Linked DNA regions of Drosophila melanogaster. The protein of the gene in region 1 binds, or shares a complex with, the protein of each later gene. Each region holds a gene or a part of one and is shown in the gene's direction. Other genes may lie near its edges. The genes, in order: eIF3f2, eIF3c, eIF3j and eIF3b.

What was found.
Region 2: eIF3f2 (region 1) and eIF3c share a complex: the UniProt entries of both Drosophila melanogaster proteins name them as parts of the eukaryotic translation initiation factor 3 (eIF-3) complex.
Region 3: eIF3f2 (region 1) and eIF3j share a complex: the UniProt entries of both Drosophila melanogaster proteins name them as parts of the eukaryotic translation initiation factor 3 (eIF-3) complex.
Region 4: eIF3f2 (region 1) and eIF3b share a complex: the UniProt entries of both Drosophila melanogaster proteins name them as parts of the eukaryotic translation initiation factor 3 (eIF-3) complex.

The regions. Positions count from the first base shown.
Region 1 is NT_033778.4:6,199,346-6,202,508, forward strand, and holds eIF3f2 (eukaryotic translation initiation factor 3 subunit f2), read left to right. Parts: upstream 1-1,507; 5' UTR 1,508-1,571; coding exon 1,572-1,676; intron 1,677-1,732; coding exon 1,733-2,488; 3' UTR 2,489-2,611; downstream 2,612-3,163. UniProt on the Drosophila melanogaster protein: Component of the eukaryotic translation initiation factor 3 (eIF-3) complex, which is involved in protein synthesis of a specialized repertoire of mRNAs and, together with other initiation factors, stimulates binding of mRNA and methionyl-tRNAi to the 40S ribosome.
Region 2 is NT_033778.4:17,664,067-17,669,813, forward strand, and holds eIF3c (eukaryotic translation initiation factor 3 subunit c), read left to right. Parts: upstream 1-1,611; 5' UTR 1,612-1,750; intron 1,751-1,965; 5' UTR 1,966-2,000; coding exon 2,001-2,093; intron 2,094-2,155; coding exon 2,156-4,795; 3' UTR 4,796-4,919; exon of another isoform or gene 4,920-4,965; 3' UTR 4,966-5,209; downstream 5,210-5,747. Other genes in the region: CG30108 (uncharacterized protein), read left to right, coding at 5,420-5,566, 5,621-5,740. UniProt on the Drosophila melanogaster protein: Component of the eukaryotic translation initiation factor 3 (eIF-3) complex, which is involved in protein synthesis of a specialized repertoire of mRNAs and, together with other initiation factors, stimulates binding of mRNA and methionyl-tRNAi to the 40S ribosome.
Region 3 is NT_033778.4:9,967,303-9,971,429, forward strand, and holds eIF3j (eukaryotic translation initiation factor 3 subunit j), read left to right. Parts: upstream 1-1,626; 5' UTR 1,627-1,917; coding exon 1,918-1,933; intron 1,934-2,158; coding exon 2,159-2,250; intron 2,251-2,438; coding exon 2,439-2,552; intron 2,553-2,616; coding exon 2,617-2,905; intron 2,906-2,969; coding exon 2,970-3,106; intron 3,107-3,171; coding exon 3,172-3,234; 3' UTR 3,235-3,595; downstream 3,596-4,127. Other genes in the region: CG12133 (uncharacterized protein), read left to right, coding at 1-510, 575-1,049; CG12134 (uncharacterized protein), read left to right, coding at 4,092-4,119. UniProt on the Drosophila melanogaster protein: Component of the eukaryotic translation initiation factor 3 (eIF-3) complex, which is involved in protein synthesis of a specialized repertoire of mRNAs and, together with other initiation factors, stimulates binding of mRNA and methionyl-tRNAi to the 40S ribosome.
Region 4 is NT_033778.4:17,534,420-17,539,568, forward strand, and holds eIF3b (eukaryotic translation initiation factor 3 subunit b), read left to right. Parts: upstream 1-1,793; 5' UTR 1,794-1,910; intron 1,911-1,913; exon of another isoform or gene 1,914-2,035; 5' UTR 2,036-2,045; coding exon 2,046-2,160; intron 2,161-2,276; coding exon 2,277-2,592; intron 2,593-2,650; coding exon 2,651-4,203; intron 4,204-4,274; coding exon 4,275-4,363; 3' UTR 4,364-4,644; downstream 4,645-5,149. Other genes in the region: patronin, read right to left, coding at 407-436; Cc2d2a (Coiled-coil and C2 domain containing 2A), read left to right, coding at 4,903-5,149. UniProt on the Drosophila melanogaster protein: RNA-binding component of the eukaryotic translation initiation factor 3 (eIF-3) complex, which is involved in protein synthesis of a specialized repertoire of mRNAs and, together with other initiation factors, stimulates binding of mRNA and methionyl-tRNAi to the 40S ribosome.

The DNA.
Region 1 (3,163 bases):
AATAATAAGGCTTAACTCGGACTCCAAAGCTGTTAATGGTACTAATTTTTATATTTTCCAAAAAGAATATAAAACTATCGCCTTACTAGGTGTACTTTTTCTTAGCGTTACACTTGTCGCTTTCGGAAATAATTTGGAGGCATCTTGATGGAGGTTCAAGTTCACACTTAATTTGTGATTTGTGCTCACGGTCTGCATTCATTAAATCTCTGCTTATGTTTAACATGGTTGCCATTTAAGGAATTTACATTTTTAGTACTTAATAAATAAATTAACATTCTTATCCAGCCCATTTTGCATTTACATTAACCACATATGATTAATTAAAGCTTATGAAATCCGTATAAAAATTTAAATCAACGATTTTTAAGAATAAACTTAAATTTACGTTTTAGAGTAACATAATTTTAGTGGTGTTGTTAGAATCTGCATGCTTAATGCACTCCCTAGATAAGTTCCCGAGATCTCTACATTCATTTAGATAGGCAGACAGATGCACGGTAGGAGGATTTACTTTACAAGACGGGATACGCTTCCTCCTACCTGACACATCCTTTTCTAGCAATCTATCTAGTTTACCCTTATGCTTTACGACCGACAGGTATAAGATGGAAATTGCCGAGGATTGAATAAAATATTCCGTTATCGAGCTAAAACCGTTTTAAGAAGCGGGAGTTTTACAATCGATTCTTCTTGCTTCAAACAAGACCTGCGTGTAAGATCTACGCCGTAGATGGCCGATTTTTATAATGCAATATGTTGGGCTTATAGCAATATGCATATTTGGTTATTCATCGATGAATTTACTTTGCAGGGAATAGTTTTTAAATTAAAAGTCTTGTACATTTTCTAATAAAATATACACTCGACATAAAAGAAGAATTATCACGAATTTGGGTAACAATATTCATTGACGGCTATATAAATATATTTTTTTAAAATATTAAAAATATATAAATTAGTTCCCATGCAAAATGGCCTCATTGGTTTTGCTATGTAAACGTTTTACCAGTCTGATTTGTTTACCACCTTAACTGAGTTTTTAATATAGGGCGCCAATTGAAATTTGTATGAGTATGAAATTAAAGTCATTATGCCGTATGCGAAATATGGGAGGAGCAAGGAACACTGCCATTGATACTTGGTGAGATTCCCATTTCACAAGGTATTGATACACGAAATACCCATGGCTATCCGTAACAAACTCATGCACGTAAATTAAGAGTCGTTTTAACAGACATTTACTAAATTTTAAACTATATACATATATGGTAAAAAGGCAGAATGTTTTTAATTTTTGTTATTATGTTCTTATAGCATACACAACTGTAAAATAATGTATGATGCTTAATTTAAAATTATTTTAAGCTTGTTTTTTCTGTTTACCATTTCAAAATGTTTCTAAATAGGCAAGTTTCTAAATAGCAAGGCAACGAAATAGGTGAGCACATTTTGGCACGTGCCCTTTTAAGTTATATTTACATTTTACAACACTGGATCGAGGGGAGGCACAAGCGCAGCCAAGTTTGCTTTGCTAAGTTTCTTTTCCAACTTAATTTTTTTTGTAACTCATGATGTCTAGGAATTTTAGCATGCGAGCTAAGGTGTATCTAAAGCCGTTGGTGTTTTTCCAAATTATTGACGCATACGATCGCCGACCAAAAGGTGACAATCAGGTAGGTGTGCGCGCATTCATCTCCTGTCCACTAATCTTGTAATGATCAAACCAAAGGTTATGGGCACTTTGCTGGGTCGCAACAAGGAGGGCCACATCGAGATCACAAACTGTTTTACTGTGCCGCACAAGGAGCATTCGGAGAACAAACGCATTGATCTGGATATGGCATATGCCTCCGAGGTCCTAGAGCTAAATATGTTCGCCTATCCGAACGAGCGTGTGCTGGGCTGGTTCTGCACTGGGAAATCGGTGTCCCGCTCCGCGTCCCTGATCCACGACTATTATGTCAGAGAATGCTGCGAAGGACAGCCACTGCACCTGCTAGTGGATGCAGCCCTGAAGAACCAGCGACTCTCGACCCGACTGTACTGTGCTGTGGAGATGGGAGTGCCTGGTGGCACCAAAGGACTGATGTTCTCATTAGTTCCACTGGAGATTAGCAACGAAAATTCCGATTTGGTGGCTCTGCGTTGCATAGAAAAGCAATCGCAGCAACAGGCAAGCAAGCAAATGGAGCGCTTCGTCCCAGAGTTGGCTCAAGTGGTGGATGCCACTAGGGATATGCAACATCGCCTTGACTTGGTGCTGCGCTACATCAACGATGTCTTGGCCAGGAAGAAAAAACCTGACAACGTAGTCGGGAGATCCCTTTACGCCGCTCTCACTGCCGTGCCGCTTTTGGACTCGGACAAATTTCGCGTCATGTTTAATACTAACTTGAGGGATATGCTCATGGCCATCACTCTTTCCACAATGATAAAAACACAGCTGGAGATCAGCGAGAAACTGTCTTGCATGCAGGATCAGTGAACAATGACAAAAAACTGACTGAATTGACTGAATCAATCACTTAATTGTTATTTTGGGTGCCTTTTGCTATTTACACCACCTAATAAATTGAACTTTCATTAAAAGGAGGATGTAGGTCACACTAAAGCAAGCCTTCGGTAGAAATTATTAAATTAGTATCGGCTCCTGAACTTTGGAGTCTAGAAACATCGCATCCAGCGATTAAGATCATTATAAGCTCGTGCCGAAAACAAATGATTTTCGTTAAGGCTTCCCCCGTTCTACACAGTTGCGTTGCCCGAAAACCTTATAGGCAACGCTTGATCGGCATTCTTTTCCAGCATCCCGATCTTAGTCCCTTTGGTAAGTGATTTTCAGAGAAAGCGAGTCATTTCGCCAACTCCTTTGGCCGTTTAAGCACCAAAAAGTTTGCGGTAAATACAACAACAGTGCTGGGAAACCCGCGGCGGAATGATGATCTCTACGGACGGTGATAAGGTCCAGTACAGATCTATTTCGGTCTGTTCAAATCTCGACGAAGAGGGCACGGCGGAGGATGGTAGTGGAAAGGTGGTGGGGGTGTCGGGGATGTGGACCACCCAAATAATGCCGAGATAATAACGCCTTATCGCGGTTCAGGGACAGTCGGCGGATGTCCACCGGGGCAATCAATTAGCTGGAACGAACTGAAAATTA
Region 2 (5,747 bases), about 11 Mb from region 1:
TAATGGATGATGACGAATTGAATGAAAAAGAAGTGCATCGGTTTTATCAATAAAAACTAAATTAAAATGGAGGCAGGAACGTGGGAGTAGTTATTAGGAATTATTCATTGAAATTGCGTAACTCAACATTTGTATTCAATCAACAGGAAATCTATGCTCGAGCAAGGGCAGAAATCGCATTTAAATGGAAATTTCTATAGTCTGTTTCGAGCATCGGTTTTGAAAATATCCAACCCATATATAGGATTTATGGGGCCGCACAAGCCGTAACAATCCAACGGAAAACGGAAGCAAAATAAACAGCACAAAAGCGTAACGGAAACAGAAACAGAACCCCAGGAAAAAGGGGCCCGTTTTTGCCGATTTGGATGTATGTAAATGCATATAAGCTTTTGCACCCACACACAATTTACGATTGCAGCTGCAGTTTCGGAGGAGTCAAGGAGCAGAAACCCGTACTATTTCACGGACCCTTTACGGATTCAAATGTCGATAGGCGGACAGGGAATTTATGGAGCTCTCATCAATTTCTCCGGATAATAAAGCCGCCATATGCACTCTCGAATGTCAGCTGTCGAAAAGCCAGGAAAAGGGCGATTACGCGAGATTAACCGATCAATTTTTAATTTGCCATTTCCGAGACCGCAGATACACACATCTCCATCAATCTGCAGTTATTATTTATTATGCTTACATTTGCGTTAAAGTGTTTTCCGTGTTACTCGTGTTTTCAAGCGATTCCGGGCGTCGCATCTCATTTAGGATGCCACTTAAACAGGATGTGGATGGGCAGAGCACATGCCACGCACACACCGCACACTTGGGCCAAATTTTGTTTACACCGCCAAGACACAACACAACACACAAGAATTCAAATGAATGAATTTATTGAATTCTTTTTAGCGGGCCGCAAAAGCACTTGAGACTCTATCGCCGGATATTGGCATCAACGCTGCCAAATCGCCGAGTACATCCGAAAAATTGAGTTTTTGAACTTGAACTGTCCGTCGGCGCGGAGGAGAGAACGCATGCGACTTGTTGGCGCGCGCGAAAACGTTTGGCTTGGTTTTGCTTTGGCCTTTCCTTGGCTGCCTGGCTGCATGTTGGCCGGACCAATTGATCCGGAGATTGGTTGGGGCGCCAGAATGGGAACCCCACTCTGTTTGGCTAAGAAATGCCGGCACTTTTGCACGCAAGCGCAGCAACATGTTGCTGGCAACTTCAAATGTTGCAGGTCACCAATGCAACATCTATGTAAGCATTGATCACTGATTATCTTTTTAACATTATTTTGAATAGTTACTTAAATGGCCACTATTTCATTTTGATGATATATTTGCTATGTAATTTAATGGATTTATTTTAAATGTACCGCCCAACCGGTTACTTGATATCGATATATCTCGAGAAGTGCCGGCATTTCGTTATCGATGAGTACGCGCTCGCATTCAGTCAAAACAGTGACTCCCTTAGAGATGGGATAGATTTCGGTAACTGTTGGTCCGCCACATAAAAAAACAAATGTTCTGTTACATTTAAAAAAATGTTTAAAACGCTCTCCTTACGAATATTAGTAGAGAGTAATCATTTCTCAACATGACAGTTATTATTAATACATAAATCAAACGCCCCGCCCCGTGACTTTGAGCAATATATATCGCCAACGAAAACACATGCAACCATCGCCCATCTCTAGTCTCTCTTTTTGATGTCTTGTGCATTCGACATCGTTTAGTTTTGCTGTAAAATAGTAAGTTTATTGTGAAATATCAAACGCCAGGTGGTAGTAAACACTTAAAAAGCAAGGCAGTGAACCGATTTCTGCCAGGGCTTCGAATGAAACAACCAAATGTCATGCGGAAATATTTGGCATACGTTTTTGCAAAACGCCATGTTGGCCGCTCAAACATAACCTCAACAAAGCAAAATCTTATGTGGCCCGAAACTAATAAATTGTGATTCCAGGCGCAGACAAACGGCCGCGTAGAAAGTCAACAAAGATGTCGCGTTTCTTTGCCAACGGGTCCGAATCGGAGTCCGAGTCCAGCGAGGAGGAGATCCAAGCGACCAACTTCAACAAAGCCAGCGCCTTCGTAAGTGCCGCCCAGATGTGAAACTCATCCATTACTAATCTATTCCTTTCCGTGGAAAACAGCAATTCAGCGACGATGAGGAGGAGGTCAAGCGCGTGGTCCGCTCCACGAAGGAGAAGCGTTACGAGAACCTCACCAGCATCATCAAAACCATTCGCAACCACAAGAAAATCAAGGATATTCCCAATACCCTGAGCAGCTTCGAGGATCTGACGCGCGCCTACCAGAAGGCACTGCCGGTCATCTCAAAGGAGGAGAACGGCATTACGCCGCGATTTTACATTCGCTGCCTGGCCGAGCTGGAGGACTTCATCAACGAGGTGTGGGAGGATCGCGAGGGCAGGAAAAACCTTTCCAAGAACAACTCCAAGTCGCTGGGCACTTTGCGCCAGAAGGTACGCAAGTACATCAAGGACTTCGAGGACGATCTGTCGCGTTTCCGTGAAGCACCCGACCAGGAGAGCGAGGCCGAGGACGAGGTGGTTGCCCTGGAGAGCGACGGCGGCGATGCTGGTGATGACAGCGACGCCGGAGTGAAGCCTACAGAAGCGGTTCCGAAAGCTGTGAAGTCCGCGCCGGCAAAGGCTGCGCCCGCCGATGATGACGATTCCGATGACTCCATTGATTGGGACTCGGACTCTGAATCGGAGACCGAGTCCTCTGACGATGAGAACCAGTATCAGAACATGCGCGAGCGATTCTTGAAGCGTACTACCGAAAAGGAGGAAAAGGATGATGACAAGAGGAAGGACAAGCGTAAGGAGCAGAAGACCAAGATCCGCAAGCGCGCCGAGGACGATGAAGATGGCGAGTGGGAGACTGTGGTCAAGGGTCATGTAGTAGAGAAGCCCAAGATGTTCGAAAAGGACGCAGAGATCGATGTTCCCCTAGTGCTGGCCAAGCTGTTGGAAATTATGTCGGCTCGCGGCAAGAAGCGCACCGATCGCCGTCTGCAGATCGATCTGCTTTTCGAGTTGAGGGACATCTCTGATCAGCACAACCTGGGAACCGCCGTCTCCGTGAAGATTCATTTTAACATCATCTCGGCTATCTACGATTACAACCAGAAGATTTCCGAGCCCATGAAGCTAGAACACTGGGCCCTGCTTCTGGAGGTAATGCAGAGCATGATGAAGCTCCTGCTGGCCAACGCCGACATTATTATGAGCGAGAGCGTGGCCGAGGAGCATGAGGAGTACGCTACGTCACCGTTTTATGTGAGGGGATGCCCACTGGCTGCCGTGGAGCGCCTGGATGACGAATTTGTTAAGCTGCTGAAGGAATGCGATCCACACTCCAACGACTACGTGTCCCGGCTGAAGGACGAGGTGAACGTGGTTAAGACTATTGAACTGGTGCTGCAGTATTTCGAGCGCTCTGGCACCAACAACGAGCGCTGTCGCATCTACCTGCGCAAGATCGAACATCTCTACTATAAGTTCGATCCGGAGGTGCTGAAGAAGAAGCGCGGTGAGCTGCCAGCCACTACCTCCACCTCCGTAGACGTGATGGATAAGCTGTGCAAATTCATCTACGCTAAGGACGATACGGATCGTATCCGTACGAGGGCCATCCTGGCGCACATCTACCATCATGCTATGCACGACAACTGGTTCCAGGCCCGTGATTTGGTGCTGATGTCTCATCTGCAGGACAACATTGATGCCGCCGATCCCGCCACCCGCATCCTGTACAACCGTATGATGGCCAATCTGGGTCTGTGTGCCTTCCGCCAGGGCAACGTCAAGGATGCGCATCACTGTCTAGTGGACTTGATGGTCACCGGCAAGCCCAAGGAGCTGCTCGCTCAAGGACTGCTGCCTCAGCGCCAGCACGAGCGATCTGCCGAGCAGGAGAAAATCGAGAAGCAACGCCAGATGCCATTCCATATGCACATCAACCTTGAGTTGCTTGAATGTGTCTACCTGGTGTCCGCTATGCTGCTCGAAATTCCTTACATTGCCGCCCATGAATTCGACGCCCGCCGCCGCATGATCAGTAAGACCTTCTACCAGCAGTTGCGTTCCTCGGAGCGTCAATCACTGGTGGGTCCACCAGAGTCGATGCGTGAGCATGTCGTGGCTGCTGCCAAGGCTATGCGTTGCGGCAACTGGCAGGCGTGTGCCAACTTCATTGTCAACAAGAAGATGAACACGAAAGTGTGGGACCTCTTCTACGAGTCTGATCGCGTGCGCGAGATGCTGACCAAGTTCATTAAGGAAGAATCGCTGCGCACCTACCTGTTCACCTACTCGAACGTCTACACCTCGATCAGCATTCCTTCGCTGGCGCAGATGTACGAGCTGCCCGTGCCGAAAGTGCACTCCATCATCAGTAAGATGATCATCAACGAGGAGCTCATGGCCAGCCTGGACGATCCATCCGAAACCGTGGGTATGCATCGTTCGGAGCCATCGCGTCTTCAGGCCCTGGCCATGCAATTCGTGGACAAGGTCACAAATCTGGTGGACGTCAACGAAAAGGTGTTCGACATGAAGCAGGGCAACTTCTTCCAGCGCGGCAACATGGGCAATCGCGGTGACCGTGGCTACAACCGCAACCAGAACAACCAGGGCGGCAATTGGCTCGGCCAGCGGCGGGATCGCAACAACCGGAACCGTAACCAGCGCGGGCACCACAAGAACAACCAAGATAGGCAGCAGCAGCAACAGCAACAAGTCCAAACGATCGACGAGGAGTAGACGTTGCTGCAACCTCAGCCCATCCTCTCTAGCGAGCGTTAGCTTAAACATCAGCAAAACTTAAACAGATCAAATTTGTAGCACTTCGACTATTAAAATGGAATGGCCATGGACAACACGTTGGGTCACATGCTTTCAGGCCTCCGATTCGGTTTCAGGCTGGGTCGGAGGTCTGTTTTTATCATGTCCATTGCATATTGTTGTAGCCAAGTCACACGAACATTTGTTTCAGCGCTCATTACGTTAAATGATAATACTAATAACTACATTTTGTATGAACCCAAAACCGAAAAAGAAACCTTAAAAACAAGAGACACAAAATCAGTGACTTTTTTTTGCAAATTTTTACCAACAACTAATATTAAATTTATATGTACTAACAAGAGTATTATTTTAGTCGGCTTAACACTTTGGCTTTTGAAAATTTAAGAAAACTAAGAATAACATTTGAATTTCGATGACAAGCTTCGTTTTCTGCAAAACTTCGGATATCGATATGCTCTTTTTTTCTCACATCTCTGAAACCTTTTCTTCAGTAGTACCGTTCGACGTACCTTTGTCACATTTTTTCGGAACTCTATAATAGGCATTATAAATTAAAACCAAAATATACCTAGTAAACAAATGAGCAGCGTTGGCGAGGATTGCAACGAGCTGAAGCAGCAGTACGATGCCTGTTTCAACAGCTGGTTTTCTGAACGCTTCCTAAAAGGTCAAATGGATGACTCAGCGTGTGCTCCGATTTTCCGGGTTTATCAGGAATGCGTCAAGGTGAGCTAATCGGCTCCCTAACCACGTATGGTTTGACCAACCTGTAATCCCCAGCGCGCTATTAAGGAGAAGAAGATCGATTTGCAAGAGATAGATCCGATCTTCGAAACCGGGCTTGAGGAGAATAATGCGAATAGATCTGATGCAAAACAGCAGCAGGCGGGCGAAAGCTGACCCCGTA
Region 3 (4,127 bases), 3.8 Mb from region 1:
AAAATCACAGTACCGGAACAAACTATGCAACATTAATCCTTTTGCCCACGAGCTAGTGCACATGGTTTTTACCTGCTGCCCGATGGTTGCAGGGGATAAACTACCAGATAGCAGGGTCTGCGGACAGAGTCCTCCTTCGTCATATATCGTAGGCGGCATGGAGGCACAGTCCAACCAGTTTCCCTGGACAGTCCTGCTGGGTTACGAAGCCTACACAGCAAAGCAGCGACCGTCTCCCATGTGTGCGGGCTCCTTGATCGCCAGTCGCTATGTGCTGACGGCAGCCCATTGTTTGAATGTGAATGACTTCTACGTGGCACGTGTGCGCCTGGGCGAGCATGACACCGAGAACGATCCCGACTACACCTGGCTGCCGAATGGAGCCAAGATATGGGCTCCAGCGCACGTGGACATCGATGTGGATCTGAGGGTTCCGCACGAGCAGTACTACACGAGAAATGGAAGACACTACAACGACATTGCTCTGTTGCGTCTGAAGAGTCGGGTGAAGTAAGTAGTGTGCTCTTTGGGGTTCCCTCTTTTCACATTTTCCCATCGATGTCCTCTCTTTCAGATACACTCTTCAGATCAGACCCATTTGCATTTGGCCTGGCATTGAATTGTCAACTTCCTCCTTCAAAAACTTCCCTTTTCAAATTGCCGGCTGGGGCGATTCGGGTCTGCAGCAAAAAAGCACCGTACTTCGCCAAGGCACCATCAGTGGAATGAGTCCGGATGAATGCTTGAATCGGTATCCAACACTGCTCGTCGATAAGGACATCCAGATATGTGCCATGGGATGGGATGGCACCGACACCGGACTGGGAGATTCCGGTAGCCCGCTGATGGCTTCGGTGGGCAGGGGTGCTGATCAATTTTATTACCTAGCCGGAATAACGTCCTACGGAGGGGGACCCTCCAGTTACGGATATGGGCCAGCGGTTTACACGAAAACTTCCTCATATTATGAGTGGATAAAGAAGAAAATCAATGATATCGCTGAAGATGAACGTAAAATGAAATACAAATCTGTAAGAATACCAATTTAATTTAACGTTATTAAAATGATACTTTTTATGCATGCAGAAATGGATGTTGTTCTTTGTTAACAAAATCGCCAAAACAGTCAAGTAAAGAAAGTACACAATTATCTTTAAAACCGTTCTTGGGACAAAAAGCCACATTTAACATGATTATGTTAAAAACAGATGTAACCATTGAGAATTGCAGACGTTTGACATAATTCACATTTTGCAAACAAATCCAGATCTTAACTAGACCAATTCTAACTCCAATAAGGATGACTTAGCCTCTCAATCGAAAGAATTCCTCGACTATAAGATAGCCTTAGTCAGCAATTGGGGAGTTCGAGGTATATAACGACACAGCTAGTTCTTCTTATCAAGAACATGCTTATGTATGTATATACTCTCTACTATATATAATTTATCGAGTCGAATCAATTTTCCTTATAACTCTAAGAGTAAGTTTCTTAGAACACCACGAAGAGGGAGATTTATCACGAATTTTTTTTGAAAAAAACTTGTAGGGTAACTCAAATCTTTAAAAACTTAAAGATTTCTTAACAAAGTTGACAAATTTGTGTTTGAAAATAAAATAAGCAATCTTACAATCAAGAAAGGAAAAAAATGAAAAATGAAATATTGTAGGGTAACAAATTTCAAATTGTCGATAACTTGATATCACCTTGGCCGCACTACGAATATTCGATGGCAACAGACTATCGGCGACGTTACCCACGCATTTTCCGCTAGTCGCGCCTTGGGCACACTACAGATCCACAGAAATTTGGTTTTGGAAAATTCCTGAAATCGCTGCCGAGGCTGGAAACAAGTCGATCCCAGCACCATCCCATCCAGAAGCACAAATCCCGCAAGCAAATAGGCAACCATTAACATGGCCGACGATTGGGGTAAGTTGCGATTGGCCTGGGCGGAAGAGTGGGCGGTGCGTCATCTGCACGGCGGACAATAAACGTGGTCTCCGTCGTTGTTGTTGTTGTTGCTGCTGCTATTGCTGTTGTTGTTGGAGTGCCGTGCAACCAGCCTTGATGAGTATTTTTAGCCACTGTGCCAACTAACCGTTTGAAATCATTGTTATTCACCATGTTCCTGGAACTCATTCTGTTACCTGGCAGAATCCGCAGCAGACAGCGAGGTGGTCATCCGGCCGACTGCCGCCGCCAGCGTAAACAAGTGGGAGGGCGAGGACGAGGATGAGGACATCAAGGTGCGACTAACGAAATCCAAGTGAGATCGAAAGCAGTGCCGCATTCAAACCAACTATCCAAGTGCCCAACAACAAATGCCATGGGCCAAAACTTGTTTTTCTGCACTCGGTTTCACTTTCGTTTCGCTGTACACGTGTGCACTTTTGCAGCAGACTGATCGAATCATTTGTTTATTTGCTGCCCACAGGACAGCTGGGAGGATGAGGAGGAAAAAAAGGACGAGGAGAAGCCTACGAAAACAGAAGCACCAGCCAAACCGAAGCCAAATAAGGCGCTAAAAGCCAAACTGGAACAGCAGGCGGTGAGATAAGGCTCAAAAGCATTTCTCAATCATTGGCTATATTGTTATCATCTGTTATTAACAGCTCCTAGAGGAGGAAGCGGAGGCAAAACGTTTGGCCAACCTATCGCCTGCAGAAAAGTTGGCTGAGAAGCTGCGATTGCAAAAAATCCAGGAGGCCTCTGATCTCAAGCATGCCCAGGAAGCGTTCGGTGTGACGAGTACGTGCGGAGGTCTTGACGCCTTCAACCCCGAGACCAAGGAGGAGTTCAAGGAATTTGGCGCAACGCTCAGCTGGAAGGTGGGCCAATTCCGCGAGTCGGAGCACTTCCCCCAATTTGTTGAGGATCTGGTGCGCAGCCTATGCGTGAATCGTGAGTGATTAGCTGGCTGACAATTAAAGACGGCTTATCTGATTTGATTTCGCACCTTATCTAGTGAGCGCTGCTGACATCAAAAAGGTCAAGATGAACGTGGAAATCTTGCACTCGGAAAAGCTGAAGCTGGAAAAGGCCAATGCTAAAAAGCCCGCTGGAAAGGGCAAGGGCAAGGTCACTCTCCGCACCGAAAACGACGTGAGTGTTTCAATCGCCGCCGTTCGAGATCAACGAATGAACTTATTTAATCCGCTCTTTTGCAGGACATTGACGGTTACCAAAAGTACGGAAATGACTTCACCGAAGACTATGACGACTTCATGTGAATAGGATCTATAAATGTAGCCCGCATATATCTAATTATTGAATGCATAGTTGCTTGTTGAAGAGTTCTTCTTGTTAGAGATGCTGCGCAGGAATAAGAGTCCTTTGTTAAATATAAAATGGCAGAACCTATATAAATATGTAAATATATATTTATATAACCATACATAACACAAAACGAGTTACATAGTCAAGTCAGGCAATCAAGAAACCTCAACGAACACGCAAATCCAACTCCAAACCGAAAGAATATTTAGGCAACTGACTTATGGCGACAGCACATGTATGTAGGTCGTATTCGGAACGGCTTCTTGTGAAATTCATTTTTGTATAAAGAATAAAACTACAGATCGATATTAAACGAAAACAAAGAAATCTTGCTTATTGTGCTGTATGGGTGGGTGTGTGGTACGGGTGTACAAGTATGATGGTGGAACTGTTGATGATTGACAATTGAGTTAATTATAGGTAGCCGCTTTTATCTTACCATTACCATGAACTTTTCAAAGGAACCATAATTTTTAATTTATTTAAAACGATCACAATGCGCGCCGTAATTTGAAGGCGCTTCACTGTGAACGGCTTTGTTTGCATAGCCAAGAAGAAGCATCGCAAGGTGTGGTGTGTGACTTGGCTTCAAAATCATATTATTGAAGTAGTTAAAAATAAATTCAGTTGTCGAATAAGTGGATTTCGTCATAAAAGAAAGAGTGCTGACGCATTTGAAGTGCACTCTTATCCCTTTCAACTCGTCTATTAAGTATTCAATGTGTCTTCAGCCCAAGTTAGCTTAAATCTAGCTGAATAGTCAGCACTGTCGTCATTTAATGCACGTGCGGCAAATTAAAAATAGACAAGAATGAGCGACTTTAACAAATATTGCGAAGGTTTTATT
Region 4 (5,149 bases), about 11 Mb from region 1:
CATGCAACAGCGGCCAGCTCAAAGCGAGAAAAACGATAACAAATGCCTAATCTTGCAGGGGTAAAGCGTATTTTCCGGCTTCGATTTTTCAGCTGCAGTTTTATGAATGGATGTTGGCTGCTGGCATTATATTCCGATCAGCACAAGCACACCCCACACAACTACCGGTTGTAGTTGTTTGCATTGGCCATCGAAACCAGTCGATTGGTAAGTAGGTGTCGGTCGCATACTAAGCGCTAAGTTGCCGAGCGGCATTACCTCAGCGCACCATTTTGGCCAAGAGAGTAGGTGTTTAGGCCCGCTTCGCCTCCGTTGGAATGTTAATGAGTGCTTTTTGTTTTTAGCTCAAATATGAGTTTATTTTATGTGTAACTTTGTACACGGGAAGCCCTCTTGCTGCGCTTACCTGTCGTATTTCCTGTGTTTCGACATCCATGCTGACGGATTTTCCTGCGACGGACTCCGGCTCTCCGACGCCCGCCACTTCACTTTCCGCACTTTTTGCACTTTTCGCACTCTATGTTTGACCACAACACACCGCTTTTCCTTTTTCACTTGTCTCTTTTCTGCGTGCGAGCGAGTGCGTGTGTGTGTGAGTGTGGCTTGGAGTTTTCCTCAGCTTAGGTGATTTTCACTTGGAGCCTAAACACAAGAAAATACAAAAACACGATTGGCACTTTGTCAAACCACTTGGAAATCGAGAAAAATAACTAATTGCGCACACGCATTGTCAGCGAATTTTTTTCGGCGGGCGGGGCAGGGAAAAAGCTTAAAAGGCAGGCGGGCAGCCGAAAGAAAATGTGAATCATTCACGGAGCGCGACGGTGGGTGGTGGGCGGGGGCGGGGCTGCAGTGCGACAATAACAGAGAACACTTTACAGTTGCCTGTTCGCTTTTCTCGAGATGCTGCTGCATCAGCTGTTGCGATTTGCTCGTCTGGACAAGCCATTTACGCACTTTTCAACCCATCGCAGTGTTCAACCGCCCGTCCATGGTATAATTAATGTTTTCCCAATCCGTTTTAAGCCAGCAAGTTTCCAATTTTCTTTGGGGAACCGCCGACTTAAGTAAATGAAAACATTTTCCTTCGCCTCGCACTGTTGTTGTCCGCCGCCCGCTGTTTGCCTCTCTGTCGCTCCCGCTGCACTGGCAGTGCTGGTGTGCGACACTGCTAGTGTGGTACTGCTCGCACCCACAGCGAACGAGTGGTGACCGAAAAAGCTGTGTATGTGCGCGCGGGTGTGTGTGCGAGAGTGAGTGTGGGGCCTACGCACATTTGGGATGTTTTTCGCACTGATTTGCTGCACCGACGACTTTCGCATGCATTTCACACGGTTCGCGCTCGTCCCCGCTGCATTTTTCAACAGCTTTAATACTACAAATTGGGCTTAAATTGAGAAAATCACGGACACCGATCTGCTCTAAAATCTTACAAATTTTCATGTGAGAGATGGAACCCCAGCCGATGATTACTCGATGCAATCGGTTTTGGCTTATCGGCAACAAATCGATTGATGCCTAATTCTAAAAAATCGGTTGAACATGCTTCAAAACTTCCATCGCTAGAGTTGCAAGCGGAAAAAATGTATGTATTATTAAAGAACGATTAAACTAGTTGTTATAGGTTATACTTTGCTTAATACATATTGACTAATATTAAATAATTGTATGTACATGAAATACAAAATGATAATATTTAGCCGTTTTAACACATTATCACCAGATAAGCACCTAAGATTCTGTTGTTAAGGATCCATAAGAGAAGGATCCAGATATTATTGTCATTGCTGTCAAGCAAACATATGCAGTATAAATACAAATAAATCTAAGAAACAGTAAATTAAAATATATGCATGTACATATGTATTTATAAATATTAATAAAAGTTACCCCGCCGCGTTATCAACGCAGTGAGTAGTTGGCAACACTAACCATTCACACAAAACAGTGTTTCGCCTTGACTGGCAAATGCGGCATCTCGCTCTTCCTTTTTCACTTTGTGCTTGTGTGTTTAATGACGGAAAATTGCAAATAGATCGCTGAATATGGCCAAGAAGAAAAGCGAGGAGCACTCCGGTACGGATGCGAACGACAGTGATTACCAGGAGGAGCCGAACTTTGACGATCCGCCCGGGTTCGTGGACAACATTAGTGATGAAGGTGAAAATCACCGACTGCCAGCGCATCACACGCGGCGATCTAACCTCAATCCGTGTGCGGTGTGCGAAAGTTTGCATTTGCATATCTAATTAAATATATTCGTGATGCACTTTCAGATCTGCTGGGCGACATGTTGGCCCAGCGCCCCTCGGAGGCCGATGGCGTCGAGAGTGTGGTGGTAGTGGACAATATCCCAAAGGTGGAGCCGGTGCGCCTGGAGAAGCTGAAGTTGGTCATCAACAAGCTGTTTTCGAACTACGGAGAAATCGTCAATGTGGTCTATCCCGTCGACGAGGAGGGCAAGACCAAGGGCTACGCCTTCATGGAGTACAAGCAGGCCAGACAGGCGGAGGAAGCCGTCAAGAAGCTCAACAATCATCGCCTAGACAAAAACCACACCTTTGCCGTCAATCTCTTCACCGATTTCCAAAAGTAAGTTCTCCTTGCATCCGCATCAAGCAATGAGATTAATAAAATTTAATCTTGGCAGGTACGAAAACATCCCCGAGAAGTGGGAGCCGCCAACCGTGCAGACCTTCAAAGTGCAGAGCGATCTATACAACTTCATCAATGACCCGGACACTTATGACCAGTACTGCGTGGCAGCGGAGACCGCTCCCAACTGCGTGCAGGTTGGTTTCTGGCAAAACGTATTGCCCGAACCCTTTGAGCTGGAGACTCGCGAACGCTTCACCGACACCTTCGTCAAGTGGTCGCCCCTGGGTACTTATGTAGTCACCTTCCACAAACCCGGTGTGGCCATCTGGGGTGGCAGTAGCTTCCAGAAGATTCAGAAGTTTCCCCATCCTGGTACCCAATTCGTTGAGTTTTCGCCCTGCGAGAATTACCTAGTGACTTACGGACCGACACCCACGGGCCAAAAGATCATCATCTGGGACATTCGCACTGGAGCCGAGAAACGTTCGTTTGTTGCCGATGGCATGTCGGTTCTTTCTATGTTCCGCTGGTCGCACGACGACAAGTTTGTGGCCCGCATGGGCGAGAATTCGATCCACATCTACGAGACACCCTCTTTCTATCTTCTGGACCTGAAGTCCATTAAGATTCCCGGCATTCGTGGCTTCTCTTGGTCCCCCACAGACAACGTGATTGCCTACTGGGTGGAGGAGCAGAACCAAATACCCGCCCGCGTTACCCTGATGGAGATCCCCAAGAAGCGTGAGATCCGTAACAAGAACCTTTTCCATGTGGCCGATTGCAAGTTACATTGGCAAAAGTCCGGCGACTATCTGTGCGTTAAGGTAGATCGTTACTCAAAGTTGAAGAAGGATAAGAAGGACCTGGACGTCAAGTTTCTGGGCATGTTCTACAACTTTGAGATCTTCCACATGCGCGAGAAGGAGATTCCCGTCGACTCTGTGGAGATTCGTGAGCTTATTTTGGCCTTTGCCTGGGAGCCCGTCGGCAACAAGTTCTCCATCATTCACGGCGAGACCAACTCGTCGAATGTGAGCTTCTACGAGGTGAACAAGGGCGTTAAGCCCAGCTTGGTGAAGCGTCTAGAAAAGAAGTCATGCACACATCTGTTCTGGTCGCCACGCGGTCAGTTTATCGTAATGGCCAACCTCACCATGGGTACCTTCGAGTTTGTGGACTCCACCAACGATTACATCATCACGGCATCGCCCGATCATTTCCGCGCTTCCGAGGTCGAGTGGGATCCCACTGGACGCTACGTTGTGACTGGTGTCTCGTCATGGAAGGTGAAAGAGGATACCGGCTTCAACATGTACACGTTCCAGGGCCGCATCATCAAGCGTACCATTCTTAAGAACTTTGTGCAGTTCTTGTGGCGCCCGCGTCCTCCCACCCTGCTTAGCGAGGAGAAGCAGAAGGAGATCAAGAAGAACTTGAAGAAGTACTACGCTGCCTTCGAACAAAAGGATCGCCTGCGCCTTACCCGTGCCTCCAAGGAGCTGCTCGAGAAGCGCTCGCAGCTGCGCGAGACCTTTATGGAGTACCGCAACAAGCGTATTGCCGAGTGGGCGGAGCAGAAGAGTCGTCGCATCATGCTGCGAGGGCGTAAGTATTCTCAAGAAACAAATTGTTTAAAATTTGCCGATTTCTATATGTATATTATCCTTACGCAACAGATGTGGACACAGACAACCTGGAAACTGACGAAGTGGATGAAGAAATTGTTGAATTTTTAGTCAAGGAAGAAGTCACTCTGCTGGAGTAGACGACCCCCTCAACGCCACTCCAACGCTGTCGTCCCCTGCCTACTTCGAAGCGATCCTGTCGCCTCACATTTCGTGTCCGGGACGCGTCTACGCCCTGGTTGATGCCAGGGCCCTAATCCATTATCCAATACAGTAGCACGCGTCTGCTTGCAAACAACTCTAAGCGGAACCTTTGCCTATACATACAACATACGAACATACGAATTATAAGCCCAAAAGTAAACTTCAACTCAATCAGCAATTGCGAACATAACATCTAATTAAATGACCTTTCTTGCGCACACCCCTCCTCCTTCCAGTATGCCTAATAGTAGATTTGCCATGTATTTGTATGTAAACAGCAAAAAGAAAACGAAAACAAAATACGTTTGGGGTATGTTTTTTTGATGTTTCATTCAAGGCGATAGACGATAGATAGCTGGTGGTGAGCAGGTGTGTAACAGTGGTCAAGTCAGTTGCCCATGGCAACCAGTTGAAAGGTCAAAGCAGGCGGAATATTGTTTGCCTGGCATTTTCCGTTTGTAATAACCTATGTAACATGGAAGCCGCTCTATCCAGGAAGACTGCAAAGAAGAAACGCAAGACCCATACCACCAGAGGGTATCGGAAAAGGGAGCAGGAGGTGCAAAAGTTGATAAGGGCAACGGAAGGCAGAATCTCTGGTCCAGAACACGACATGGAGGCACTTAGCCTGCAGTTCTTTCATGGATTTGAGGGTGAGATGCAGCAGGAGAACGATTTCGCTGTTGAAGATTGCCAGGAGAGTGACGAAGATTCGGGTGGGG